4 linked regions of the Stegostoma tigrinum genome follow. The protein of the gene in region 1 interacts with the protein of each later gene in a pairwise test. Links are inferred from orthologs where the notes say so. Each region holds a gene or a part of one and is shown on either strand. Other genes may lie near its edges.

Region 1 (7,622 bases):
GCTGAGAATGGTTGGATCTAACACACTGCTCTGAAGAATTCCTGCAGCGATGACTCAGATGGATCATCGACTGGACATCAGTACGAAGTTTATTGCAAGTGCATTAGTTTTGTCTTTATTCCCTGATGCGTTGGGTTCACCCGTAAATGAAACTGGGATATTTTTGGACCCTTACCTCTCTGTTAATTGTTTAGTTGCCCGCCACTGTTAATGACTGGGTGTGACAGTACTTCAGATCCTAGATCTGATGTGTTTGTTATGGAATTGTTTAATCCTGTCTATTTTATAGTGCTTGTACTACTTGGCATACAAGTGGTCCTGCATTGTAGCTTCACCAGGCTGAAATTTTATTTTCAGATACGTTTGGCGTTGCTCCTGTCAAGCCCTCCTGCACTCTTTGAACCATAATTGGTCTGTCAGCTTAATGATCTTTTATTAATGGCTTATAGTCATGCCCGTGCCAACAAAGGGAAATACTCTCTCTGTATCCACTTGGTCAAAACCTTTCAGAGGTTTTACTATCCTTTCTAGTATTTATAAACTTCCAAGTGCAATATCTGTATCAGTTATGTTCACAACTGTACTCCATGATATCATATAAACCAGCTGAGGACTAATCACAACCCAACTTATCAAACGAGTTATACTCTTCATAAATGTTTAACACCCCCATAAAAATGTCCTTGACTTGCATCTTAATTTTTCGGCTCACCATTGCCCAAAAAAAATCTGTTTTGAAATCTCCACAGCAGACAATATATAGTATAATATGCCCATCTGTAGTATACAGGAAGAGAAGTTTATTATTTTAGTTTGAACATTTTACAAGAGGCACTGGAATAAATAACCAATACCATTAGTCATCTTAAATGATCTCGGTCTCAAGCATAAATATGGAATTATTGCAAGTGGCACTGAATCTGGGCCAAATGTAAATTAGCTTCTCCTTTGAATTGAAAGTATCATTTGGTTGAGTCGGGCAGATTCAATCAAAAGTAAGGTTACAAATCCTAAAACTGATTGACCATTTCAATCAGATATTACATTAGATATTACATTAATTATGCATGGGTCATCCAAGTAATGTATTTGTGCAAATGTCATGACCAGAGCGCATGCTGTACACATTTCCCTCAAACAAAAATATAAACCAAAGATCTCAAATTACGAACAGCCTGCAAGTACAGGCAGCCAAGTACATGCCTATCTACAACACTGGTTAGTATATATCAGTCTTCGGTATGTTTGTCATTCCAATCTACATACAATAGTTGTCATCAATTTTAATGATGGGCAGCAGAATTGACATACTGCAACAACATTTAAAAAATCAATGTCTTATATTTTATGCTCACAGTTTATTTAGCAATACTTAATGTACTCCACAGAAGAATTAAAATTATTACTAATAAAAACTAAATCCACCAATCCACAAAAACTTTAAGACAGCAATTGAGAGCATTTAGATAATGAATTGGTTACATTTGAAATGGATCTAAATACAGTTATGATGACTAACAGTAGATATTGATGGAGACCTTAATGGGTTGTAGTCAACCTTTAACGTGAAATTGTCTGTCATCTTTTATTTTTGGCCATGACTTGTCCTACTTCTGTCAGCTCTCCTCAATTTAAGAGATGGTAGGAACTGCCGATGCTGGAGAATATGAGATAACAAGGTGTAGAACTGGATGAACACAGCAGGCCAAGCAGCATCAGTATATCCTGTAGTATACAGGAAGAGAAGTTTATTTTTTTAGTTAGGGCATTTTAACAGAGGCACTGGAATAAATAACCAATGCCATTAGTCAACTTAAATGATGTAGGTCTCAAGCATAAATATGGAACTCCTGCTCCTCTGATGCTGCTTGGCCTGCTGTGTTCATCCAACTCTACACCTTGTTATCTCCTCAATTTAAGCTTGTTTTCCCATGTTACATAGCTACATATATTGTTTTCACTTCAAGTCTCATTAGGAATGTATTTTAGGAATTTGGCATCATGATTGGTTGCCTTAAATTAGTCTATATGTTCATAGTATCTTGCTAAGTATTACATATTATACTGCATATCCTACATACAATGAGGTTTGTTAATATTAAATCAAAAGATCAACATTGAATTTGTTGAGAACAAAACATCCACAAGTATTCGGGAAACTAAATTACTTTTTTCATTATTTTTAGGATCAATAGTGAATGGCCTATTATTAACATGTGATGATTCATCTCGCAGACAGAACTGACCTATTTGGCTCACCCTGTTAAGGAAATCCTCTACTGATTATTGATAATCGATATGTCCTGTTTAGCTCCTGGCTGCAGGAAACAGCATTTTGTTAAGTGCTAAGAGTGAAAGAGGGAAGTTCCTCAATAAAATCTGAACAAATGGCTTATAACCGTTCATTTGCCCTTGTCAAACCAAAATAATAATGGAAGCTGTGATAATGGGAACTGCAGATGCTGGAGAATCCAAGATAATAAAGTGTGAAGCTGGATGAACACAGCAGGCCCAGCAGCATCTTGTGCTCCTGAGATGCTGCTTGGCCTGCTGTGTTCATACAGCTTCACACTTTATAATAATGGAAGCTATTTGTTTAAACCAATTGTTATTTTTATGGTTATATATGCGGTAAATGGCTTCCACTGACTTAGCAGTAATTCACTGCTGCTTTTTTCACCATAAAATCACAAATGACATCCTATGTAACTGCAGCAAAGGTCAACTAGCATTCTCATCTTTTTTTGACCTGTCAGTAGGTTTTAACATAGTTGGCTACATCTTCAAGAACTCTCTGTGATCATCCAGCTCTACTCATCTGTTCCAAACTTTGCTAGTTCATTGTCAACAAAGGATCACTTGTAATGGCCTCTCTTCCTGCTTCTGCTCCATGACCCCTGCTTTTGCTCCCATGGAACTATTCTTGCTTCTCTCCTATTTCTTATCTACATGCTACCCCTTGGTGGCATCATCTGAAAACATATCTCTTATTTTTCACATGTGTGCTGATAACATCCAGCACTATCTCACCATTACCCTGCTCATTTCCTACACTATTGCTAAATGATCAAACTGCTTGATTGACATCCAAAACAGGATTCACTCCGGTATGTCATCTATATGTCTTTGTCTACCTTAACCTTCACGATGGTTTCCAGTCATTTAGCAAACTATTTGCTTTCCAGAATCCAGAATTGTCACTCCAGATTGCTGGTTGTTTTCCATTCCATCCACTCCACCCTCAGAGTGCTGTGACTCAATAGTATACACCTATATTTTAGGGTTTTCTACAAAACTATTTGTCAGTTGTTTTCTAGCCTCCTCGAAAAGCCCTATTAAAACCCCTTCTTCTTTGACCGTCTCCACGTTTCTCTCTCCACCAGCCTCCAAAACTGAATTCGCCTCATTTTATCTGCTCATTTCCTCTTGTTGTGTATATTTTCTCTTTTACCTGAGAAGGGATTTTAATGCGTGTTTTTTTGAACCCAAATAAATGATCGTGGGTTTCACGCATGGTTTCCAGTAACAGGGATATTTAATGGCAGTTTAGAAACCTTGGCATGTAAAGGGATCAATATCAATGAATTTGCACAGTTTGCTCAGTTTATTGCAGTGATAAGTGTGGGCACGTTTATTGGGGAACTGTTTTGACTAACACTTGAAGGGTTAACAATTGCAAGGGCACAGAAGATCAAATGTACGGATTGATTGCTGGAAAATTCTACCGTGTGTTTATTAATTTTTAGATCCGATCTGGTTTCTGCAACAGATTATTGATATTCAGAGACAGTGAACCTTTTTAAAAAAATCGAAAGCTTCAACAATAACCGGGGTCGTGCGGGGTGGGGGGGGGGGGGGGGGCGGTGTGTGAGCCGGTCGAAAAGCTGGAGTCTGATATGCAGATTGCAGTTTAAAAGACGTCTGTTTTGCACTGCATGTTCAAGCAGCACTAGACTTTTATTACTGGCACAAATTGAATATTCTCTCCGTCTCCTCCCCATCCCCCGCCCCATTTCTCACTCACTCAACTCTAATGAATTTGAGCCCAGAACCAATCAGCAGAGACCGGATGCAATATATCCTCTGGGACAACAAATGCTCTATTCGATCCCATGACGCCATTTACCCATCAGCTACCTTTGGAAAACTTAATAGCAGTTCGCGTAAATCTGCTTCTTTAAAGCACTTTGCAAACTTCACATCTGTGGGAAGGATCGGGGCGCCGGAGTAGCAGGGGGAACAACTGTAAACCGCTTGTAAAGGAAACAGCCACTTGTGAATGAAGTCCGAGCGCCTAGAATTCCCTTCTGCAAAGTTGCAACATTGACAATTTTTTTTCCCAAAAAGCTGAGTGGAGTGAGTGCGTGTGTGCGCGCGTCCGCCCTCGTGTCTGCTTCTGCTGGCTTCATTCAGGAAAAAAAAGGATTTTGCTTGCTCTCTCGCTCTCTGCTTGTTAAAAAAAAGCGCACACACACACAACAAGCGGTGATCGATCGGTCGCTGGCTGTGATCAGCGATCGGACAGGTCCTGTTGCCTTTCCCCCTGCATTATCCTCTCTCTCTCTCTCTCTCTCTCTCTCTCCCCCCCCCCCCCCAACCGTCTCTTCTCCCATTTCCCCCCAACCCTCTCCCCGCCTCTGTTGGATGCTTTTACAGATAGTGGCCGGGGCAGATCTTCGCTGGAGTCTGTATCGGCGGCTGTCTCTCTCCTTTGCTTCTGGCGGAGCATATGTGCTTCTATCCGCAGTCATAAACCGACGGAGAGGAGTTCGTGGAGCGCCGCAACCACGGTAAGTTTTTTTTAAAAAACATCTTTTAACTTGCATGGAGTAAACTCAGCTCACTTTTCAAATAGCGCTGGGATAAATTTTCAACAAAATTGGAAGTAGAACTCTCGAAAGGCATTTGGAGAAGTTTTTAATAGGCGTTTGGGGCTTTTTTTAAACAAAAATGCATTTGCAGGCAATCATTTTAATCTTTTTGCCTGCATGTCAAAGGCAAATACACACTTAAAGCATTGAGTGAGTTAGATTGTTTAACGCGTCAACATTTTTTTAAAATTCCGGGACAACAATGTAAAATAAGAAACATTCTGAATGATAGCACCGACCCCTCGCAGTTGTACCGAATAGGTCAGGCAAGCGTAGAGCCGGATTATGTTAGGAAGGGCTTTAAAAAAAACTCAGTCCTCACTTTGAAAACATACTTGACTCAACTTTGCAATCCGTTTGGTTGAGCTGTACTGGAGGGGAAGCTGCAAAGGAAATACGCTGAAAACCTTGACCAGGTGGGATATTGGGATTCAGCCCACTTAGGTGAGTTCCAGGTTTGTTCGAATAATAACCTTTTGACGGGACGATGCGCCTCTCTAGGTGAGTGGGTGGGTTGTGGGGCTGGTGAAGTTGGGAAAGGCGCTCTGAGTTGATGCTACTGCATTTAGACAGGGTTTGGCTACGGGTGCAAATGTCTGGAAAAAGTCGAGTTCGTGTTCTGTTTTAATAAGGGATTCATTAACAAAAACTGGTTTAGGAAGCGGTTTTGGATATGCGACATTCCGCCCGGAGATGATATTGAGAGGGAGAGTGAATATTGCACCGACCCCTCTATGCTGTCGTAAGGCGTCCTCGTTTTAGCCCGTCTTCCTTGCCCACTTCTGCCCGTTCACCGCGCAATTTTCTGCCACCCCGTCTGACCTCTGTTAGTCCCCCGGGTTTGCTAGCCCTCTGTTAGCCCCCCACCCCGGGTTTGCTAGCCCTCTGTTAGCCCCCCGGGTTTGCTAGCCCTCTGTTAGCCACCCCCCCCCCCCCGGGTTTGCTAGCCCTCTGTTAGCCACCCCCCCCCCCCCCCCCCCCCGGGTTTGCTAGCCCTCTGTTAGCCACCCCCCCCCCCCCCGGGTTTGCTAGCCCTCTGTTAGCCACCCCCCCCCCCCCCCGGGTTTGCTAGCCCTCTGTTAGCCACCCCCCCCCCCCGGGTTTGCTAGCCCTCTGTTAGCCACCCCCCCCCCCCCGGGTTTGCTAGCCCTCTGTTAGCCACCCCCCCCCCCCCCGGGTTTGCTAGCCCTCTGTTAGCCCCCCCCCCCCCCCCCCGGGTTTGCTAGCCCTCTGTTAGCCCCCCCCCCCCCCCCCCCGGGTTTGCTAGCCCTCTGTTAGCCCCCCCCCCCCCCCGGGTTTGCTAGCCCTCTGTTAGCCCCCCCCCCCCCCCCCCCCGGGTTTGCTAGCTCTCTGTTAGCACCCCCCCCCACCCCGGGTTTGCTAGCCCTCTGTTACCCCCCGCCCCCCATTTCCTAGCCCTCTTTTACCCCCCCCCCCCCGTGCCCCCCCATTTCCTAGCCCTCTTTCTGTCCCCTGGTCTTTGCTTGTCTTTTTTATGACGCCTCTTCCCCCCCCCCCCCCCAACCACCCTTGTTTTGCTCCGTATTGTGTCCCTTCCTTGCCTTGCCTTGCACTCTTCCTCTGTCTTGCTTTGCGCTTTTATGCCTACCCCGTCTCTGTTAGCCTCCTCCAGACCATTAGTCACTGGGTGTGATGTAAGGGGCTCCCTCAGCGGTTTCGCTGAGGACTGGAGCCCGGTTCCATACCACAGTCTTTCCCTCATTACCCCCACCCCTTTAACCAGACCCTTATCCGGTTGCTTGTTTGTGAAAGGAGTGGGTCCTGCTCCAACTTTCCACGTGTTTGATGTTATTTATTATGAAGAGGAAAGGAAGTCGGGCAGAACCAAAAAAAAACCTTGTTTCAAGAGCCTTTTTCGCAAAAACTTCACTTCAAGTCAAGAGAACTGAATTGAATTGGCGCAAGTGGTGGATTGTAATCCCATTTGCAGCCTCCTCTCTGCAGTAGTTGCATATGGAAGTTGTCACGATTTTCTTTTCATGGTGAATGATCCGTGCATAAAACCTCACCCACAATATGTATATTGTTCTGAGTTTGACATTGCTGGCAGATTTTGATAAAGATGAGGGTGATAAGCATGCATTACTTGGGGACGGTCTCCCAAGTTAAATCTGGAGACACGAAACTTGTTCCTTGTGCCCCCACTGCTAATCCCTAAAGTGAGGGTATTGTTAAACCAAACAGCACTTGAATATTTTGAAAAAGTGCCATTTCTGAATGTAGTCATTTGGAATAAAACATTCAGCAAAAAGCAGCACAATGTGAATTGTGCCTGTGGCTCTCCCAGCTTTTTTGGACGTGGCCAAGTGCTTTAAGAGTCCACAGTTTCCCAGATTTCTGAAAGTCACAATTAACATTTAGTATAAGGAGCCCAGTCCAAGCTTATTTTGCCATTTCACCCCCTTGTAGTTTATTTTGTCGCTTAACTTGAATGGAATTCAGTTTTTCTTGCACTTTTTTTACTCCTTTAGAAGTTTTAAGGCACCCATTTCAAATTATTTACTTACGGAGAGTATGAAGCTAAACATTGTAATTTTAATAGAGTGACTGTAAATTCTTGATAGAAACTAGAAACTGATATTCTAATGAGCAGTAAAATGTGCACTAACTTCCCAAGAAAATGAAGCAGTGGCTTTATCAATGACAACATGAAGATCTTAGCAGTTACATTTAACTCCAGTTATACCTAATTTCCCCAGTTGTTTAACTTGATGTATCTATGAAAGGAAA
Region 2 (7,098 bases), on another chromosome or scaffold:
CCTCCAAAAAATTCCGTGCAATTCAGACTTAACCAAAAAAAAATTCAGCTGCAAAAGTCAAGATGACAAGCTCAGACATTATTTTCCTCACAACCCTCTTGCATTTTACAATGGTGACGCACTGTTGTCAGTTGAGTGACAGTCATTCTTCAATTTGATGGTTAGTTAGATGAAGGTACATCTTGTTTTGTATGAATTCTTTGTTCTAAGTCTTTCAATTTTCCTGTCTTTTTCCTCACGCTGGGAGACAGAGAGACAGAAAGAAATCATTAGACATCCGAGCAAAAGTAAACCAATCAGCCCATCAAGTCTGCTCCACCATTCTAAAATACCAACAAGGCTGGTCTGATTGTCCTCAACTCCAGCCTTTTTCCTTGTTCCCTTCCTCACAAAGAACTCAGCCTTGCATATTCTTAATGACCCAACTTCGACAGCCCTCTGTGATAAAGAATTGCATTGATTCACTAGCATCCAATAGAAGAAATTCCTCTTGAACTCCATCTTAAATGTATGATTCCTCATTTTAAGATTGTCTCCTCTGGACTTAGACTGTCTTATAATGGGAAACAATCTTTCCACACCAACTCTGTCAAATCCCCTCAGAATATTGTATGTTTCAATAAGGTCACCTCTCATGCTTCTAAACTCCAATGAATACAGGTCCAATGTACCCAACCTCTCCTCATAAGACAGTCTCTCCATACCTGTATCAGCCTTGTGAATATTCCATTTGCCTTCCCTATGACCAGCTGCACATGCTTGATAGCTTTTTGTGATTCATGGACAGGGGATGAATCCCTTTGTTCCATATGTTTCTGCAGTCTTTCTCCTTTTAAATCATATTCACCTTCTCATTTTTCCTGCCAAATGCATATCTTCTCATTTCCACATATTATTCACTTGCTTAAACTGTCTAAACTCTTTGTGTCTTTCTCACTCCCAGCCTTCCCACCTAGGGGGCCCAGCAGCAGAGACCTGAGTAGGTTCAGCTTGCAGACTCAGGTGGCCAATCAGAGCAGATCTGAGTAGGCCCAGCAGTGCAGACTCAGGTAGGTCCAACAGCACAGCTTTGGGTAGGCCCAGCAGTGCAGACCTGACTAGGCCCAGCAGCTCAAACTCGAGCAACAACGTTGGAGGAGAGTTTGGGCTCCCGGCAGCTTCAGCATTGTCGAGGTGGTCCGACCACTGATCAAGGCTGCAGCAGCATAAGCTGGTTTGCTTTCCCAGAGGCATCCGCTTCCAGCGCAGATTCAAGGAGAAGGTGGCAGGAGCGATTTTGAGCCCATTATGAGATGCGATGGCATTAGCATAGGCTGTATCGGTGAGACAGACCCGAAGGAGACTTGTGGCAGCAACGGAATCAAGTTTGGGCCAGTGTGGTACTGGGAGGGATCATTGGCATCTGCATTGGCGAAGACCAGCAAGAACATACAGTGGTGATGGTATTGGCTGAGGTGAAGGGCAGTGACTTTCATTCCGTTGATGGCAGTGAAGGGATCTCATACCTGGCCAGCAGGCCCTTGATCCAGGGCAGAGCAATTAACAAAAAGAGCCATTGCATTGGACAGTTTTTCTTTATTTCTTCATTTTTTCTGCCTTTATATTCTATATTTTCATTTATTTTTCTGTGTTTTAAGACAGTACCAGCGAGTGGCGACACCATACAACACTTTTCATTGTGTTTTGTAACAAGGTACATGTGACAACAAATCAATGAAATCAAATTACTGATCTGGTCATCTTGAAAGACTCCAGTATGTTTCTTATGCTGATGCGGCAAATCCGTGCCTTGTCTCAGATTTGATTCAGTTAGAGGAGCTGCTGATTTAAAAAGCTGCACTTATTCAGGTCAAGAATAATTCAGGCTAAGTTCTTAGCTCCTCTGATGCTGCCTAACCTGCTGTGTTCATCCAGCTCCACACTGCACATCTTTGGCCTTCCTCCTCCTCATTTTTCTTATGTTCCAATGTAAATAAAGATATCAGACAGGGAAATTGTGAGTTTTTTCAAATTAATTCCTGGGATGTGGGTGTTGCTGGCTGGGCCAGCATTTACTGCCCATCCCTACTTGTCCATGAGAAGGTGATGGTGAGCTGCCTTCTTGAACTGCTGCAGCAGTTGGTGTGTAAGTACTCTGACACCGTCTTTAAGAAGGGAATTCTGGGATTTTGACCCAAGGACACTGAAGAAATGGCAATATATTTACAAGTCAGGATGGTGAGAGGCTTGGGGGAGAACTTGCAGGAGGTGGTGTTCCTATATATCTACTACCCTTGACCTTCTGGATAGAAGTGGGTTGTGGGTTTGGAAAGTGCTGCCTGAGGATCTTTGGTGAATTTCTGAGTGTATGTTGCAGACAGTATGCAACTTAAAGAATAATTAAGTTTGAAACGTGTCAGCTTATGAACAAAATCTTTTCCTCATGACGGGGTGGGGTGGATGTAGAAGTGAGAGCAGGAAATTGTTGCAACATACAAGGAAATGTCCTGCAATAAGATATATGACAATAAAGCAATGACTTGGAGAAAGCAATGCAAGGAAGTAATAGGACAGTATGAAAAACCTCTTATCACTGTTTGATAATTGCTTCAAATAATTAAGTGGCCATGAAGGTAATATCGAAGTTAGAAAGGAGTGAGCAAGAGCTATGAGGCCCTGTGTAGGAGATATGCTTATTGAAGTGATTTTCATCGTCTTTATTAAATCCAATCAGTAAATTAATATATAGTTAACCTAAATTAATCAAGGTTAATGTTTTATAAATAGTACATTAATTGAATTATTAAAACATTTTTCTGAGGCTTTATAAATCTTGTTAAAGAGTGAAGAGCTTATCCATACATGTGGTAACATTTTCCTTGGGAGCATGAGTAGGCCATTTGGCCCTTCACGCATTCCAGCACTCAATAGAATCATCAATGATCTAATCTCACTGAACAGCTGCACTGTCATCTGCCATCCTTCTTGCAATGAATAAATCTCTCTATTTGTTGCATCAACATGCAGACTTTATATGTTGCCTGTCTCAAGGGCTGCACAAGGAGGACACTGCGCACAGTTGTTCGTTTCATTTATATTTGGCTTTGAAAGGGTCTGAAAGAGTTAAGACTTGATTGCATGCAATAAGCACCACCAACTAAGATAATAAGATACCATGATGTCTTTGTAGGAAGGTAAAAGTTCGACTTTGTGGAAGACAAACCTGAGGCTGGGTTCTGTGGTAAGTAAAACAAAGTTGCTGGGAAAGCTCAGCAGATCTGGCAGCATCAGTCCTCTGAGGAAGGGTCACGAGACCAGTCATAGATGCTGCCAGAAATAATGGGAACTGCAGATACTGGAGAATCCAAGATAACAAAGTGTGAAGCTGGGGAGCACAAAAGCTGATGTGTTGGGCCTAGACCCGAAACATCGGCTTTTGTGCTCCTGAGATGCTGCTTGGCCTGCTGTGTTCATCCAGCTCCACACTTTATTATCATAGATGCTGCCAGACCTGCTGAGTTTTTCCAGCAACATTTGTTTTTGTTCCTGATTTATGGCATCTGTAGTTCGTTTGGTTTTTATTTAGTCTTTGTGGTAATGTTGAGTGGAATACAGTACATTGTGTTCACTCTTCAGGACTGTTTGTGTCAGACCACAAGGTGATTGTGACACACAATCAAGTGAGCCCCTGGGTGGAGCCACACACCATCTAGTGGGAAATGTGTGACAGAAGGCCTCTTGACCTGCTCAACACATTAACACAATTGACCACCCGATGCCAACTGGATGGTCAGTCAAGAGTGCCCACACACTCCCATGTCTACTCTTATTAAAAACTAGTCAACCTAAAGGGTTCTGAATGTTTTTGAAGATGTTTATTGCCAGGAGATGTTTGAGTGTGTTAAAGATGAATCTTTAATCCTTCAGGGACTGTGGCAGGGGAGGGGTAATTACAGCAGGAACAAGGTAATGCCTCATCAATACATAAGATATTTTATGTTAGAGACAAAAAGCCTCAGTAACTCCAGAAAGCTTTTTTCTCCATCGATTATTCAGCCTCCATCGATCGCTCCTCCCTCTCTGACATCCATTGCTCGCGGCTGGAGTGCGGCGCCAGTATCCCAGAATGCAGCGAGGCGGTTGGAGATGGCGGATCTTCACCGGGACGATCCCGAGCTGGAGCCGGATCCGGGATGTGTCCCAGGGCTCCACCCCGAGGTGAGAGTGTCATCAGCGCCCGCTGACCCCGAGCCCCGGCCCAACAACACCCGGAGCCCCTGGGAGGGTGCGGCGGGGCTGCGGACTGGCTCTGAAGCCCGACATCCCCTTCTCCAACCCTAATCACCCCCTCACCCTTCCATTCCCACCCTCCCTCTTCCCCTCCCCCATGAAAGGGATTTGACAGGGATGAGATGTTTCCCCGGGCTGGGATGTTTAGATTCGAGGTGCACAATTTTAACAATAAGGGAAACTACTTCGGACTGAGATTAGGAGAATGTTTTTAGCTCAGGTTTGTGAACCATTAGAATTCTCTGTATTAGAGGGCTTTGAAAGCTGAGTCTTTGAGTTCATTTGTAGTAATCTATTAACTGATTTCTAAATACCAATGACATAAAGGGATATGAGGCTGGTGTGGAAAAAGGGTATTGAAGTGGATGATTAGCCATGATCGTATTCAGTGTCAGCGCAGGATTGGCGGGCTGAATGGCCTAATCCCGATCCCCTTTCTTTAAATGGCTGCCTTGCAAGCATTCAGTTCCCAATAATCACTCAATCATGGCGGGAAACAACAGAAATATTTTTGTCCTCAGAATGTGTCCAGGCAGTTGAAAACTTCCTGGCCGCTTGGGCTGCATTTCGGTTACCAAAACCACTTTCCTTTCAGGTAATGGTGTTGAAAGCAGTTGTGTTTATATATTTTTATCTGTCGCCAAGTTTCCAGACACACACTGATGATGTTACTGCCAACAATTGTCTGCTGTCTCTATGAAGTATCTGAATGGATGGGGCCAAGTGCCTTGCCTGTAAAGCAATCTTCTCCCCCATCGCAGGCTATCAACAGCAATGAAAAGCAGTGGAATTGTCCTTGAGAAGAGAATTGTGAGAATGAGGCCAGGGAGTTGAGAATTATGTTCTGAAGTTGTCTTTCTTGAAGTTTGAGGCATTGTTGACTTAGATTGAATTTCCTGCTATGTGTTACAAAATGCGGAGGAATGGAAATTGTGGGAGATATAGCAGTTTGGATCGGAAATTGGCTTGCTGAAAGAAGACAGAGGGCAGTAGTTGATGGGAAATGTTCATCCTGGAGACCAGTTACTAGTGGTGTACCGCAAGGGTCGGTGTTGGGTCCACTGCTGTTTGTCATTTTTATAAATGACCTGGACGAGGGCGTAGAAGGATGGGTTAGTAAATTTGCAGACGACACTAAGGTCAGTGGAGTTGTGGATGGTGACGAAGGATGCTGTAGGTTGCAGAGAGACATGGATAAGCTGCAGAGCTGGGCTGAGAGGTGGCAAATGGAGTTTAATGCACTTTGATAGGAGTAACCAGAAGGCAAAGTACAGGGCTAATAGTAAGATTCTTAGTAGTGTAGATGAGCAGAGAGATCTCGGTGTCCATGTACACAGATCCTTGAAAGTTGCCACCCAGGTTGACACGGCTGTTAAGAAGGCATACAGTGTTTTAGCTTTTATTAATAGAGGGATCGAGTTGTGGAACCAAGAGGTTATGGCGAAGCTGTACAAAACTCTGGTGTGGCCGCACTTGAAGTATTGCGTACAGTTCTGGTCACCGCATTATAAGAAAGATGTGGAAGTTTTGGAAAGGGTGCAGAGGAGATTTACTAGGATGTTGCTTGGTATGGAGGGAAGGTCTTACAAGGAAAGGCTGAGGGACTTGAGGCTGTTTTCATTAGAGAGAAGAAGGTTGAGAGGTGACTTAATTGAAACATATAAAATAATCAGTGGGTTAGATAGGGTGGATAGGTATAGTGTAGGTTAGATGGGCTTGAGATCGGTATGACAGGTCGGCACAACATCGAGGGCTGAAGGGCCTGTACTGTGCTGTAATGTTCTATATTCTATGTTATTGAAACTTAGAGGCCCTATTAAACTGACAGCTTTGACAAACTTTGGTTTCCTATTCTAAATATCCTGAGCACCTTAAGTATCAAATTGTTTGTTAAATTTTCTTCAGCTCCTCAGGACATTTTATTTTCAAGATGATTTCAAGCTGCACTTGTTGTGAAGAAACGGACCAGAGTTGGTTGGGAAGAGCACACAGCATTGCTCGGACAAGGAAAAGGTTACTTTTGGGTGTATCAAAGCCGTGGAGGGATTTGTAAATTCTATTTGAAGAAGGGGTCAATTTAATTTCTTGTGCTGAGGGTATGTTCAGCAGTGTTCTAGTCAGTTTGAAGTTCAGGACGCCAGCTTGTAGATCTTTATAAAATCAAATAAAACCTCCCTCCAGTTCGGCAGTTCCTACTGTCTCTCCCTCCAGATTAGTAGTACTGCCAAGTTCTGAAGAACAATAACATTTGCACTCTGCAAGCTTATCTTCAGATTTCAAAAGCAATCACATCAAAATGGATTATTCAGAAGAACTTCTAAATCCTTGGAAGAATGCATATATCTCAGAATTTTCCCAACCAGGAGTTTACATACTTCTAATGGGGCTTGCCAAATGCCCAATTGAACCTGAATTCATCCATCATCTTGATGTGTCTTTGTACTGATCAATGATCTTTGCTCAATGTGCAGCCCTGTGTTGGAAGTGACTAATTTTGTTTGAATTATTTGCTGTTTTGCTTTCAGAAATTGCACTTGATGTCTAATTTGGTCAACATTCTGTTATTGATGCTTTTGTCTGAGTTGTTTGCGTTGTTACTTGTTCAGAGCAGCACATCGGCTTGATGGTTAGTACCGTTGCTTCACTGCGCGAGGCACCCAGGTCTGATTCCAGCCTTGGGTGACTGTCTAAATAAACACCAGAAGAACTGCAGATGTTGTAAATCAGGAATGAAAACAGGAGTTGGTGGAAAAGCTCAGTAGGTCTGGCAGCATCTGTGAAGAAAAAAAATCAAAGTTAATGTTTCAGGTCCAGTGACCCTTCCTGAGA
Region 3 (7,545 bases), on another chromosome or scaffold:
GCAGGCATTGGTGGATGGGTTAGTAAGTTTGCAGATGACACTGAAGTCGGTGGAGTGGTGGACAGTGTGGAAGAATGTGATAATGGGAACTGCAGATGCTGGAGAATCCAAGATAATAAAATGTGAGGCTGGATGAACACAGCAGGCCCAGCAGCATCTCAGGAGCACAAAAGCTGACGTTTCGGGCCTATACCCTTCTAGGCCCGAAACGTCAGCTTTTGTGCTTCTGAGATGCTGCTGGGCCTGCTGTGTTCATCCAGCCTCACATTTTGTTATATTAGTGTGGAAGAATGTTGCAGGTTGCAGGGAGACTTGGATAAACTGCAGAATTGTGCTGAAAGGTGGCACATGGAGTTTAATATGGATAAATGTGAGGTGATTCACTTTGGAAAGAATAATAGGAAGGCAGAATACCGGGTCAATGGAAAGATTCTTGGTCGTGTGGATGTACAGAGGGATCTTGGTGTCCATGTACATAAATTGCTGAAAGTTGCCACCCAGGTTGATAGTGCTGTTAAGAAGGCTTACGGTCTTTTAGGTTTTATTGGTGGAGGGATTGAGTTCTGGAGCCGTGGTGCCATGCTGCAACTGTACAAAACGCTAGTGCGGCCTCACTTGGAATATTGCGTGCGGTTCTTGTTGCTCCATTCCTGGAAGGATGTAGAAGCATTGGAAAAGGTGCAGAGGAGATTTACCAGGATGTTGCCTGATCTGGAGCGCAGGCCCTATGAAGAAAGGTTGACGGACTTGGGTCTGTTCTCATTGGAGAGAAGGAGGCTTAGAGGGGATTTAATAGAGACGTACAAGATGATCAGAGGATTAGATAGGGTGGACAGTGAGAGTCTTTGTCCAAGGATGATGACGTCGGCTTGTACAAGGGGGCGTAGCTGCAAATTGAGGGGTGATAGATTTAAGACAGATGTCAGAGGCAGGTTCTTTACTCAGAGAGTGGTAAGGGCGTGGAACGCCCTGTCTGTCAATGTAGTTAACTCAGCCACATTAGGGGCATTTAAATAGTCCTTGGATAAGCAGATGGATAATGATGGGATAGTGTAGGGGGAGGGGCTTAGATTAGTTCACAGGTCGGCGCAACATCGAGGGCCGAAGGGCCTGTTTTGCGCTGTATTGTTCTATGAAATGAATGAAATGAATACCAACACTGCATTTTGCATTATGATGGATTTTGGAAGATTTAATTCAAGGGCGAACTATACTGTAAATGGAAAAGTCCTAGGAAAAATTGATGAACCGAGAGATCTGGGTGTTCAGGTCCATTGTTCCCTGAAGATGGCAACGCAGGTCAATAGGGTGGTCAAGAAGGCATATGGCATGCTTTCCTCCATTGGGCGGGGTATTGAGTACAAGAGTTGGCAGGTCATGTTGCAGTTGTGTTGGACTTTGGTTCGGCCACATTTGGAGTACTGTGTACAGTTCTGGTCACCACATTACCAAAAGGATGTGGATGCTTTGGAGAGGGTGCAGAGGAGGTTCACCAGGATGTTGCCTGGTATGGAGGGTGCTAGCTATGAAGAGAGGTTGAGTAGATTAGGATTATTTTCATTAGAAAGACGGAGCTTGAGGGGTGACCTGATTGAGGTCTACAAAATCATGAGGGGTAGAGACAGGGTGGATAGCAAGAAGCTTTTTCCCAGAGTGGGGGACTCAATTACTAGGGGTGATGAGTTCAAAGTGAGAGGAGGAAAGTTTAAGGGAGATATGCGTGGAAAGTTCTTTACACAGAGGGTGGTGGGCGCCTGGAACGTGTTGCCAGCGGAGGTGGTAGATGCAGACACGTTAGTGTCTTTTAAGATATATTTGGACAGGTACATGGATGGGCAGGGAGCAAATGGACACAGTCTGTTAGAAAATAGATGACAGGTTAGACAGAGGATCTTGATCGGCGCAGGCTTGGAGGGCCGAAGGGCCTGTTCCTGTGCTGGAATTTTCTTTGTTTTTTGTTCTTTGTTCATTTGCCTTCCTGACCATCAACTGAACTTACGCCAACCTTAAGAGAATCCTAAACTAGAACTCCCAAGTCCTTTCACACTTCAGGTTTCCAAAGCCCTTCCACATTTAAAGACGAGTGTATGCCTCTGTTCTTCTTATCTAAAAATAGAGCCCAACACTTTCCATCTGCCACTTCTTTGTCCACTCACTTAGCATTTCCTTCTGCAGCCTCTATGCTTCTTCAACACAACCTGTCCCTCCACCTAACTTCTGCCCTCAGCTCCTTGTCCTGATCATTCATGTATAATGCGAATAGTTATAGTCCCAACTCGGAACCATGCAGACCTCCACTAGTCACCAGCTGCCATCTTGAAAAAGGCCCCTTCATCCCCAGTCTCTGTCTTCTTCTACCAGACAGCCAATCCTTCATCCATGCCCCTAACACCATGGGCCCTTATCTTATTTAGCAGTCTCCTGTGCAGCATCTTGTCAAAGGTCTTCTGGAAATGTAATACATTACATGTACCCGGTCTCCTTTACCTAACTTGTTCATTACTTCCTCAGAGAAGGTTTGTCAGGGATGACCTCCTTTTGATGAAGTCGTGCTGATTCAACTCTATTTTATCATGCACTTCCAAATTCTGTGCAATCTCACCCTAATAATGGACTCTAAAATCTAACCGATAGCCCAGGTCAGGCTAACTGGCCTACAGTTTCCTATCTTCTGCCTCTGTCCCTTCTGAAACAGGGCGGGTTACATTAGCCATTTTCCAAGTCTCCAGAGCCCTCCCTGACTCCAGTGATTCCTGAAAAACCACCACCAACGCCTCTACAATCTCCTCAGATATTTCCTTTAGAACTTGGGGTATAGTCCATCTGGTCCGGGTGATTTATCCACCTTCGGACCTTACACCTTCCTTAGTACTTTCTCCTAAATGATAGCCACTGCACTCACCTCTGCCCCCGAGGTTTTCGAAGTTCTGGTATGCCACTGGTGTCTTCCACGTGAAAACTGATACGAAGTACCTATTCAGTTCTTTTGCCGTTTCTTTGTTCCCTGTTACTATGTTTCATGTAGATGGTTGTAAATCTGATCACCAGATGGCAGCATTGGATCAGTGTAGAAAATTCCACATTGATGGATAGCTGGCATTGAAATGGAACAGCAGAATGTTGATCAGACAGTGAGTTTTATGTTCCCTTTTATTTAAGCCTCACCAACAATATTTATTTAAATAACATCGTTCATGTAATATAACATCCCAAAGTTACAAGAAAAAGATAAGGATATCAAGGAAAATCAAACATGTGCTTTTTAAAACATATTCTTTTGTACCATTTGCACCAATATTTATTGTCCGTCCCAAATTGTGCCTGAGAAAGTGGTGGTGAACCACATTTTTCAGTCTAACTTAAGGTTGAAGTTTGTATCACATATAGATTGCATGATTAAAGAAGGCATTTAGCAAGCTTGCCTTCATTGCTCGGGCATATGAGTTCAGGACTTGGGAAATCATGTTGAGGTTGTACAGGACATTGCTGATGCCTCTTCTGGAATATTATGTCCAGTTCTGGTCGCTCCATTATGGGAAGGATATTATTAAGCTGGAGAGAGTTCAGAAAAGACTTACCAAGATGTTGCTGGGAATGGAGGGTTTCAGTTATGGGGAGAGGCTGGACAAGCTGGGACTTCTTTCACTGGAGAGAGAAAGGTTGAGAGGTAACCTTATCGAGGTTTATAAAATCATGAGGGGTATAGATGAGGCAAATGGCAGGCTGCCTTTTACATAGGGTGGACAATTTTAAGACTAGAGGGCACATTTTTAAGGTGAGAGGAGAAAGACATAAAAAAAGACTTGAGGGGCAATTATGTTCCATACATGGAGTGGTTTGTGTGTAGAATTAGCACATGAATAAGAAATGTTTGGAGTGATATAGATCAGGCATAGATAGGTGAGATATTTTAATTTGGGATTGGGGTTGTCATGGGCTGGTTGGATGTAAGGGTCAGTGTGCTGTATGCCTCTATGAGTCTCTTACCTGTTAGGCACATAAAAAATCTCTACAATCTTCTTTTATATTAGTAGTCAGCTTGCTTTAAACTTCATCCTCTTCCTGCCTGCCTTTTTAGTTATCCTTTGCCTGATTTTAACTATCCCCTGGCTTTCTACTTATCTTCACTACATTGTATGCTTTTCCTTTTGCTTTTATTTTGTCCCTGATGATGCATGCCAGCCAGCTTCATCTGCCCCTTACTATGTTTCTTCTTCCTTGGCATGAATTTCTGTTGCACCTCCTGAGTTACCCACAGAAACTCCTGCCATTGTTGCTGCCCCATCTTCCCTGCTAGGCCCCCCTTCCAATCAACTCTGGCCAGCTCCTCCCTCATCTTTGTAGTTAGCTTTACTTAATTGTAATACAATTATACCTGATTCAATATATTCCAACTCAAACTGGAGGACGAATTGTATCATATTATGGTCACAGTCCCCTAGGAGCTCCTTCACCTTCAGCTCCCTAATCAGGTCTGTGTCATTACATATCACTATTTCCAGAGTTGCCTATTCCGAGTGAGCTCTACACCAAACTGCTTCAAAAAAAATCACATAGGCATTGCACAAATCCCCTTTTTTTCAGATCCACTAATAATCTGATTTTCCCAGTCCATCTGCGTACTGGAATCTCTCATGACTACTGTAATATGCCTTTCTTACATATTTTTTCTTTCTCCGGATTTATTTTCTTCCACACTTCCCGACTGCTGCTAGGAGACCTGCACTCAATTCCCATCAGGCCCTTTCTCCTTTGCAGTTCCTCAACTCTACCCACACAGGTTCTATGCCTTCCAATTCTCTATCACTTGTTATAAATTTAATTTCATTTGAAACTAACAAGACAACTATGCCACTCCCCACCCAACTGCCTGTCCTTTTGATTGGATTGACAGTGCTGTGTTGACAACATTGTAACTTTATGAAATATAAACTACAGGCTTTTCAAAACTTCTTTTATGGTTCATTGGAGTCAGTAATAGACTAGCATTTATTGCCTGCCTTGCTGGTGAACTGCCTGCAGTCTATGTGTCTTACTGACTTGGTGCTGCCCAGATGTGATAGCACATATTCCAGATGGGTGATAATGGGAACTGCAGATGGTAGAGAATCCAAGATAATAAAATGTGAGGCTGGATGAACACAGCAGGCTCAGCAGCACCTCAGGAGCACAAAAGCTGACGTTTCGGGCCTAGACCCTTCATCAGGTGGGGTTAATTTTATAACAAAGTGTGGAGCTGGATGAACAAACAGGCCAAGCAGCATCTTAGGAGCACAAGGCCTGCTGTGTTCATCCAGCTCCACACTTTGTTATCTCAGATTCTCCAGCATCTGCAGTTCCCTTTATCTCGGGGTTAATGTTATATACTGTTTCATGTGGAATCTCCGCCTTATGTGCACAAATACTGCAATTAAAAAAAATCTCCTTTCTGTTCTAAAGCTGGGAAAGAAATATGGCAATATATTCAGCATGAATCTAGGAGCAGAGTTTTTGCTGGTATTGGATGGTTACTCTGTCGTCAGAGAAGCACTGGTCCATCATGGGGAGGTTTTCTCTGCAAGGCCCATTTCACCAATATTCCTGCAACTCAAAGGCTCACATGGTGAGTGACAAACCTACTCTCACCACCAACTTCCTCAATCCATATATCTGAATCACCTTCCAAAACAACTCGTCTTTTCTTTCCCAGGAATTATGTTTTCCAATGGCAGTGAATGGAGAGAGCAACGTCACTTTGCTGTGTCACATCTCAGAAATTTGCTCCCTCAGGTGAAACCATGGCTCATATCTGAGGCCCGAAGGCTGAATGAACGATTTGTGGAATATCACGGTAATTCTGTTTGAGAAAGGACCAATCAAAGAAATTAGAATATTTTAGATTTTTAGATTTTTCTGCTCAATGTTGGGTACCACAAAGGAACATTTGCATTTGTGCACTACCTTATGACACCTCAGGATTCCCTTTACAGCCAATCTTTCTTTTGTCAAGTGCCATTACTGATGTGACGTTGGGAACATGGAAGTCACTTTCATACTGCAGAATGGCACAAATAGCAGTCACTATGTTACTAATGAGACAGTGTTCTTAAGAAGATAATGGAGATGACGTCAGGATTTAATAGGGATTTATATTTTATTCAATCTCTTCAGAATTGTTTTGACGTACCTTTGAGGAATATGTGACTTGAACCCAGGCCTCTTGGCCCAGAGGTAAGGACTCTACCATAGCACTGCAACAACTCTAAACTTAGCTCAATGAATTTTTTTCGGCTAAGTTGGAGTTAAAGTGGCGGAATCTTAATGTTAAAGCCAGCTTGTTCAGGTGTGACATAGAACATAGAACATAGAACATTACAGCACAGTACAGGCCCTTTGGCCCTCGATGTTGTGCCAACCTGTCATACCGATCTCAAGCCCATCTACACTATTCCATGTATGTTCATCGTGACATTGATAAATATTATTTCATATAAAGGGGAGTATAATTCTGGAACTTTCTCCCATTAAAAATAGAAACCTTTGGATTCTGAGAGTCAGCTGGAAGTGTTGAAACCATGATGGATAAATCAATGCAGCATAAGAGGTGTTAAGAAATTCAGAATCGCGGCAGACATGGAGTTAAGATTCAGATCAAAAAGCACTACAGTTAATATTGGTGAGCCTGAACAAACTCCTCATGTCTTTGTTGCACAACGTAAAATAACTGCACAGAGGCACCCTGTCACCAAGTTACCCTTTATTTACAAGTGGACAGTCCTTGACATTGACCTGGCTTCCACACAGCCAACCCTCAGTGTTAACAGAACCTCTGACAATCCTGTTTATATCTGTCAGCCAGGGCTAACTGATTGGACCAAGTCAGAGAATTCATATTCTATGAGGTCCACCTGGCTGACCTTGTTAGAATAACTATATCCCTCCCCTACTAAGTCTTTTCCTTGTAGCCTCTCATTTGCTGTTTCCTGATCATTCTCCTCTGAGTCAGCCTTGGACACAGGTGACATGTACCAGGCCATAGCACACCTCTTGTGCTCTGAGTGTCTCAGAAGAAATTGATCCTCTTCTTCAGTCAGTAAAGGCATCAGGACTGCAATATCCACTATGCCTATCTCAGAGTCTGAGGTTTCTTTGTTGCCAGCCAGAGGGGGAGAACACACAGGCTCCCTTAGTCTTTATGGATGGATGAGCTTGAGGCTCATTTGGAACTTGGCAGGTACGATGTTGTGGGGATAACTGAGACGTGGCTTCAAGTGGACAGGGCCTGGAAAATGAATATTCAAGGCTACACATGCTATCGAAAGGACAGACTGACGGGCAGAGGGGATGGGGTGGCCCTGTTGGTGAAGAATGATATTCAGCCCCTTGAAAGGGGGGACATAGAATTAGGAGATGTAGAGTCAGTATGGAGAGAGCTGAGAAATTCTAAGGGTAGAAGGACCCTAATGGGAGTTATCTACAGGTCCCTAAACAGTCTGGATATAGGGTGTAAGTTGAATCAGGAGTTGAAATTGGCCGGTCGCAAAGGTATTACAACACTTGTAATGG
Region 4 (7,505 bases), on another chromosome or scaffold:
TGCCCCCATCCCTTCCATTGAACTGAAAAAAAAAGCGCAAAGAGCTGAAATTCACTGTTGGCCAGCGACCGGTACCACAAATAAAGCCAAGAGGCCACTGTCTCTAACCACCCTCCCTGCCCCAGCAGCCTGGAGGGGCCAGGGGCATACATTCAACTCTGATTAACTTTGATGCCAAATAACCAACAGAATCTGCAAAGAGCTAGCTCTTGGTTTCCCGTGAGTGATTGTCAATGTCTGCATTTTTGGTTGTTGTACGTATTTTTAATTTTGTATCCAAACATCCAATATATTGCCTGTTAATGTGGTCAACTTCACAATCAGTTTGGTATCTGGGGTGGGGTTGGGTTGGTATCTGGGATTGGGATTGGGTTGGTATCTGGGATCAGGATCTGGTTGGGTTGGTATCTGGGATCAGGATCTGGTTGGGTTGGTATCTGGGATCGGATCGGGTTGGGTTGGTATCTGGAATCAGAATCGCGTTGGTATCCTGGCTCGGGTTGGAATCTGGGATCAGGATCGGGTTGGGTTGGTATCTGGGATCAGGTTGGGTTGATACCTGAGATCGGATTAGGTTGGTATCTGGGATCAGGTTGCGTTGATATCTGGGATTAGATTAGGTTGGTATCTGGTATCAGGATCTGGTTGGGTTGGTATCTGGGATCGGATTAGGTTGGAATCTGGGATCAGGATCAAGTTAGGTTGGTATCTGGGATCAGGTTGGGTTGATATCTGAGATCGGATTAGGTTGGTATCTGGAATCGGGATCTGGTTGGGCTTTAGCTGGCAGAGGAGCTAAAAAAAATGGAGAGTAACTGGTTTCTATTGTGTTTTTCAGACTGGCAGAAAACAGAAGCTCAGAAAAGACGTGAGCAGCTCTTACTAGATGAACTAGTTATTCTGGTTAACAAACGGGACGCGCTTGTCCGAGATTTAGATGCACAGGAAAAACAGTAAGTTACTAAATTAAGAAAAGTTACTTGGTGGGAATGAAAACCGAGCCTTTCGCCTGCACGTTATCCTCCAACTTTCCGGGTTGAATGTATTCAGTATTCGATCCTATCCAATCTAGCTTTAGTTTTTGAATGTTGCATTCTTCAAGAGTCAGGTCTCTTGGTGCTGCCCCAGTCCCTAATGAAGCCTGTTTGTGTGTTCCAGGGCGGAAGAAGAAGATGAACATTTGGAACGAACGCTCGAACAAAACAAAGGGAAAATTGTAAAGAAAGAAGATAAGTGTCTCATTCAGTGAGAGAGATGCACTAGAAGATCTCCCATCATTTACACACACTTTCACTCTCATTTTAATAAACTATGTGATGGATTTGAATGATATCATGTTTCAATTAGATTGTAAACTGTTGTATTTTTTTTCTGTCAGAGCATTTAATCGTCCTAAGGCCGCAGGTCCGTCATATGGCTGCATCTGTCGTTTTTATGAAAGTGTATTTTGTAAAAAAAAAAGCCGCGTGTAATTGTTTTATTTGTAACGGTGACATTTAATGTTTTATCAGTTACATTTGGGAAGAATTCCCTGCTCATTAAGGAGGATAGGAAAAACACCAAATAGTTGCGAAATGTAGCAGGACAGTTCCTGATTGTTTCTTATTAACACTGAGACGGCTTTCTGTGCGCCGCACTGATCTGCCTCAAATGGATGTTGGATCAGATTTGATACTGTGACCGGGGAGGTTGGCGGTGGTTACCGGCTTCTGAACGTTACTGTTTTACAGAAACTGCGGAACTCCAGCCTCTGGGTGCACCTTTGAATAAATTGATCGCCATCAGTTGTCAAAAAGTGAAACATCTTCAAGAAACAATCTCTAAACCGGAATGTTTGAGCTTGCTAGTTGCTGCATTTTCAATATCTAGGTTTATTTCCATTGAATATTGGAACGTTTCATTGGAGCTGTAAAGTCCGGTTTTTTTTAAAATATAAATAGTTGGCTTTTACAGAGCGGCTATGTTGTAAATGATATTATCTGAAGTTAGTTTTAGTTTAAACTCAGAAAAGGGCTGATGACTTTGCACCCGGTTGGTGCGGTCAGTTCGTTCTCTGGTGTTTTCTATGTATTTATTACCCGGAACAGCGCGAGCTGCTTGTTTAAGCTCCAGGTATTTTGCTAAAACGTTTTTGTTTGGCTCGAAAATGCTTGTTATTTGTCTTCCGAAAGCAAAAGCAGTTCTCTAGAAGATCGGAATCATTTTCAACACGTTTCTCTGCACCAACCTACCGTCAATAAAACTGCTGCTTGGGGGAAGAAATATTTCTGTTTATTTATTCCAGGACCGCCTCTGAATCTTGAATAAAAAGTGAACTTTGAAGCGTTTTATGTGGACAGAATCTGTTGTTGATGCTTTAGCCTAATCATGTTCATACAGACTTGCGACTTCTAAATTTGAGTTATTTACATAAATGACTTCGATTGGGGAGCGATTTACTTTAAATTGGAATTGTTTAATGCATAAATAAAAGTTTTCCTTCGCTACAACCAAACCGGTTTAAGTTTTTTAACGATTGCACGTCAGCAATTCCATCCTGGTGGGTAAAAGCTCCATGCCCAGGCTGAAGCAGGCGCACAGCAAAGTCAGAAAAGATACCTGTAAAGCGTCTCCTACAGCAGTTTTCCCGGGAACTCCTCCCGACCGTCTGAAATCAAAATCAAAGTTGAAAATCCAAATCTTTGTTCAAAATCCCAACCAAAACCCCGAGGTTAGTTTTCTAGCTGCACCTGGCTGGGTTTCTGCCCCTTTTTCCTGTTTTTTTTTCATTCCCTGCCCTGCAGATTCCTCACGTGTGGGGCCCATCTGCGGTGACTGTACTCTCATGTTTTAATTTCTGCAATAGCCGCCGATTGCAGTCATTTCAATCGACTTTTTTAAAAAATATTGCTCTAATATCGACATCTTTCAAACAATTAAACAGATGATGTGTTTTTGTAATGAACTAATAAATATTCGAAGCTGAACTGAACAGCTCGATCAACGGCCGATATACCCCTTTCTGTAAACATTTCTAAATGAACCTGATGTCTCTCATTCTCAAACCCTGCAGCTGTCAACCAGGAAACGCACCAGGCACGAAGCTAAAGTTTAAAGTGCGCGTCTTGATGTTGTTTCCGCGGTGTCACGGAAATATTGAAAGGACATTTTCTGTTTGAGGCTCGTTCCTAAAATAATTTGATAGGATACATTTCTTACACGACGCCAATCACATCAACTAGAGCTCGTAGCCGTTAGGAGCTGAACTCCCTTTGCACATTCCAAATTATTACACTGTTCGTTTCGGTTTCATCGGCGCAAAACATTTCGGATTTTCTGTGGTTGTGTAACTTTGAAATGATTTTTCTGTGAAGTCATTGCAGCAAAGAGGTGAAACCGGCCGCTAGCCATTAACTTTGTAACATCACACATCAATGTCTTCAACTGGAGAAGCAAATCTTTTAAAGTCGCTTCTAAGTGAATCCCATTACTGTTTTTTTAACTCATTTTGAGACAATGTCGGACATTACCATCCTTCCCGCGGCTAGTGTGGACAGTATCTTTTTAATTTGTTAGTGGGGACTATTAATTACTTTGGAGGGAGATTAGCACAAGGAAGAGACAATTTTACAGACACAATCTGTTTAGATGGCAGAGCTTTTAGTCAATGTATTGAATGAGGAATTTCTGTTGTGACACCATTCGAGCCGCCGCCTTCAGAACCTGTAACACTCAACGCATTCCGGCGACTTTCAAATTCATTTGCTGTGTCTAGTTTTCCAGGACAGTTCTGGCCCATCAGTAGCATTCCTGCCACCTCAGTCTGTCCAAAAGCAGGCTTTTGGGGACTGTCGAAAATCAAACAATCTGCACTGGCACCGTTTAGCATCGTTATCACATGACACACAGACCTGCAGAAAGTCTAACCTTCAGCTAAAAGGACGTCCACGCCTCGTGCCAAATATGTTTGAGCCGAAATAAAAATTTTATTTTGTTAAAAGTGCACAGACTGAACTGAGATGTCAGCAAAGGGGCTGCGGCCCGTAACATACGCATGATCCTGGACACAATTGGTGCTAATTATTCAAACTTCCAATTGCACCGTGAGCGCTGGAAAATTCCTAAATCATTCCTAACTTCCCGGCTATAATTTCTACACCGCCTGGAATTTAACAATTATGACTGTAAGTAGTTGTCATCCTCTCCGTTCTTACCTGTTTGCTCCTGGCCGCCCACAGTAAGCAGCAGATTTGACAAACTCTCTGAAAGGGCTAACACGAGGCTGGGAGCCGCAGTTTGAAAACTTTTCAGCGCTTCACCTGGTGAACAAGGAGTTGATGAAGGGATTTAGTCGCGATCGAGACTGGAGGAGTCTCTTGTGAATTTTACATTTGGCCCCTCGGATGTATCTAAATGCGGCTGCAGGTGATGATCACTGGGATTTCAATTCCCCCCCCCCCCCCCCACCACCTTTTCCACCGAGCCAGTTACACTATCCCAGTTTTATCCCTATCCCTACACTATCCCATCCCTGTGTAAAGCAAGTTAAACCAAGTGTGGCCGTTATAATCGGCCCGCCGTGCCGCTCCAGTGCCACGTTACACCACATTCTTAGTTTTGTCTGTACCAAATCTTCCGCAATCTCTGACTTCTACCTTTTGATGCAATAACGCACATCTGTCCCTCTCCCTGTCTCTCCCTCCCCCCTTCCCCAACCCAGGGTTTCAGGCTCGGCTTTAAGAAAATTCGCCTGCAATTTCGGATTAGACAAATACTCTTCTTACAAAGGTTAGTGCTACTTGATACTATAATACTTAACACAGGCTTGATCAGCGCATCTTAAACAGAGACTTCACACAATAAAAACAATCAGTAAATCCCTGGGATTGCTCCAGAAGTAAACTCGATTGTGTTTCATCAGACAAATTAGCAGGATGTTTCGTTTCCTTAATGCTGGTTAAAAGGCAGGATTTTTAAAATGTACATCTTTTAAGTATGATTTAAACAGAGCAGTACAACCGAAGGTTTATGTACAGAACAGTTCAATCCCAGCTGCGAATATGGTTAGCCAAATAGTCTAACAGAAAGGTAGAGAGTATACCTCAGTTATCAACAACTGAACAATAGGAAACAGTGCGAAACTGTGCAAGCCGTGTACAGAATGAATTAACAATGTTCATGTGAGGTACGATCTTATTTTTTTTCCGAAGGCATTAGCTTTTTTTTACGTTTAGCAAATACTGATGTTAATCCCGAACAATTTCTAATTATTTCGAACAGTCGGTTGCGTCTTTCTTGCTCATGGTAACGAGATCTTATTATTATCATGGAAATAGCCTGCCTCGGTGCAAAATTATGTTCCTTGAAGGTTTCACTTCTCAAACGCAGGCGAAAAAGAAACCAAAACAAAAAAAAACTTCCAGCAAAGTGCATTATTTGCTAAGTTGGGATTGAATTGACCGCTGGTTCTTTTGTCAGAAACGGTGCTCGTGTCGATGACTTTCAGTGAACTATTGGGAAAGTCTTGTAAAACCTTCCTTTGATGAGCTGCTCGGTAAAGCAAAAAATGTAATTTCGTCTTCTGGCGGTTGGTTTCTTTGAACATTAGCTCGCTTTCAGTTCCCGCATCAATTAGAATGAGTTGATTTTCTGTGAACAACAAAAGAGTGACCAAAGCCTTATTAAGGTTTTCAGAAGAACTCACCGAGCCTTTCAAAACCAGTTAAGGAAACCCTGTGCCCCTCCATGATATTCTGTTACCGTATGTTATTTGTTCACCAAAGAAAAGTGACGCTTGAAAAGTGGTTTCTTTGATAACCAGCAGCCGACAGTCCTTCTCGAATTCATTTATTTCCCGCGTCGGCGTATTTTTTCTTTAGAAATTTCGATTAAAGGCAGTCTGTCCCATTAAAGTTTACGCTGACTATCCCGAAATGTAAAACTAAATGGGGATTAGGCCGTCATCAATATTCATGAGAACGTACAATTTCAAACACAAAAAAACCTCGACATTTTTAGGAGTAATTATTTTAAAAGTACGACTTGAAAATACAACCGTATTAAAATTCCGGCCCTTGTTATTTGCTGGAAAGGCCCGAAAGAGAGAGATTTCCTGGTTAAAACATTCGTTTACCTGAAACTAAGTTTAACATATCCTCAGCTGAAACCTTAACAGGACATGGGGGGTGGGGGGGGGGGGGGGGGGAAACCAGCTGATTTCTCAATAGAGGTTCATACTTCTCCTTTATTTCATGTATTTATCACAGGAAACTCGTAACGAAAATGATGCGGACAGCCAGGTTTATTTTCTCGCAAGTCAGTGCCTTGTTCGCTAATAATGGTGCACATCCCACCGGGCTGAGAAACAGATACTGAATAGGTGCCAGTTACACTGATGTGAGGTGACAGAAAACCGACTTTATGAATGTTCTCTGAATTGTTTAGTCTCACAACAAGCTGCTAGCTGTATTGCGTGAATTTCCACAGCAATAATTACCTGCTGTAATTAAGTGGTGGCCGCTCGGGTTTCTTCATGAATAACTTTGCAGCTTGTCCAGAAATATGTAGCTGACAGATTGTGACTACTTTCAGAGGAGCTTTTTACCCAGCGATGGGCAAGTGTATTCCTCCTCTGGGAAAGTAGTGCTCCGGCGTCACCTGGAGACGAGCTGTCAATCATGAACAAGTCGCCGGGTGATTGGTGAAGGGCGGATCATTGTCGGGCAGTTCCGCCAGAGCAGCGCTCTCTTAGAGAAGGCTGCAGTGATCAACTCTCCATTGAGTCAGGTCCAAACAAACACGGAACGACCTGCAACTTTCGCTTCCCCAGCCTCTAGGCTCGCAGCAAGTTTCTCACTTTGCTGCTTGTTTCGTTTCTGGGGTGGGTCTGTTTTGGGAAGGGGGGTGGTGGGTGTTTGAATTCAGTCCCACCCGCTCCGACCTAACCTTGTTGCGCGTTGTGCTACAGAATAGACAGCAGGCTCCTGCTTGCGTTTTACTGAGTTCTAGACTCCAGGCCTGGTCTAAAATATTCTCAGGTGAGTGTGAGACTCCGCGGTATTTATTCATGGGGGGTGGGGGGCAGCAATCTCAACGAATTAGTGTGAGGCTAGGGAGTTTTTCTTTGAAGGGGCTAGTTTGAAAACGACCTCAGATTGTGAACTAACTTGTGACTGTTAAAGTACAGCTCTCTATGGCTAACTTTGAATTTTTTTTCCCCCTTGTATTTGTGTTGTTAACTAATTCAATTTTGTAACTGACCTGACTCCTCCTAAAGTACTTGGATCGTTTAATTTGTTTCATTTTCTCACTGAAAATTACAATTGCAGCGTCCAAGGGCCGATTGAAAAGCTTGAGTCCACTTTAGCGGCTAATTGGAGAGGCGTGTTTTTCGTTTTTTTTGTTCATTTATTTTGCTGATAAGGTTCCTCCTTTTAAATTGCGTCCCCTGAGGTCTAATCTAAATTGTAATTGACTTCATTTGCACACGGCTATCGCCTTTTAAATGAGAGCACGGTTTTATCTGG

What was found.
Region 2: the proteins of spry2 (region 1) and zdhhc17 interact in binary tests that used the Homo sapiens proteins (3 or more experiments, as listed by UniProt). The link is inferred for Stegostoma tigrinum from reciprocal best matches to the Homo sapiens genes SPRY2 and ZDHHC17.
Region 3: the proteins of spry2 (region 1) and ubiquitin-associated and SH3 domain-containing protein A-like interact in binary tests that used the Homo sapiens proteins (3 or more experiments, as listed by UniProt). The two-hybrid records come from large-scale screens. The link is inferred for Stegostoma tigrinum from reciprocal best matches to the Homo sapiens genes SPRY2 and UBASH3A.
Region 4: the proteins of spry2 (region 1) and otx1 interact in binary tests that used the Homo sapiens proteins (3 or more experiments, as listed by UniProt). The two-hybrid records come from large-scale screens. The link is inferred for Stegostoma tigrinum from reciprocal best matches to the Homo sapiens genes SPRY2 and OTX1.

Annotation. Positions count from the first base shown.
Region 1 is NC_081359.1:30,489,314-30,496,935, reverse strand, and holds the start of spry2 (protein sprouty homolog 2), read left to right. Parts: upstream 1-4,601; 5' UTR 4,602-4,644; coding exon 4,645-4,790; intron 4,791-7,622.
Region 2 is NC_081371.1:62,884,635-62,891,732, reverse strand, and holds the start of zdhhc17 (palmitoyltransferase ZDHHC17), read left to right. Parts: upstream 1-4,097; 5' UTR 4,098-4,125; coding exon 4,126-4,197; intron 4,198-7,098. UniProt on the Homo sapiens protein: Palmitoyltransferase that catalyzes the addition of palmitate onto various protein substrates and is involved in a variety of cellular processes.
Region 3 is NC_081365.1:101,793-109,337, reverse strand, and holds the start of ubiquitin-associated and SH3 domain-containing protein A-like, read right to left. Parts: upstream 3,001-7,545; 5' UTR 2,903-3,000; intron 1-2,902. Other genes in the region: cytochrome P450 2J1-like, read left to right, coding at 5,440-5,602, 5,690-5,830. UniProt on the Homo sapiens protein: Interferes with CBL-mediated down-regulation and degradation of receptor-type tyrosine kinases. Promotes accumulation of activated target receptors, such as T-cell receptors, EGFR and PDGFRB, on the cell surface.
Region 4 is NC_081362.1:1,438,478-1,445,982, forward strand, and holds the start of otx1 (homeobox protein OTX1 B), read left to right. Parts: upstream 1-4,504; 5' UTR 4,505-5,164; intron 5,165-6,245; 5' UTR 6,246-6,380; intron 6,381-6,549; exon of another isoform or gene 6,550-7,505. Other genes in the region: ehbp1 (EH domain-binding protein 1), read left to right, coding at 839-953, 1,159-1,249. UniProt on the Homo sapiens protein: Probably plays a role in the development of the brain and the sense organs. Can bind to the BCD target sequence (BTS): 5'-TCTAATCCC-3'.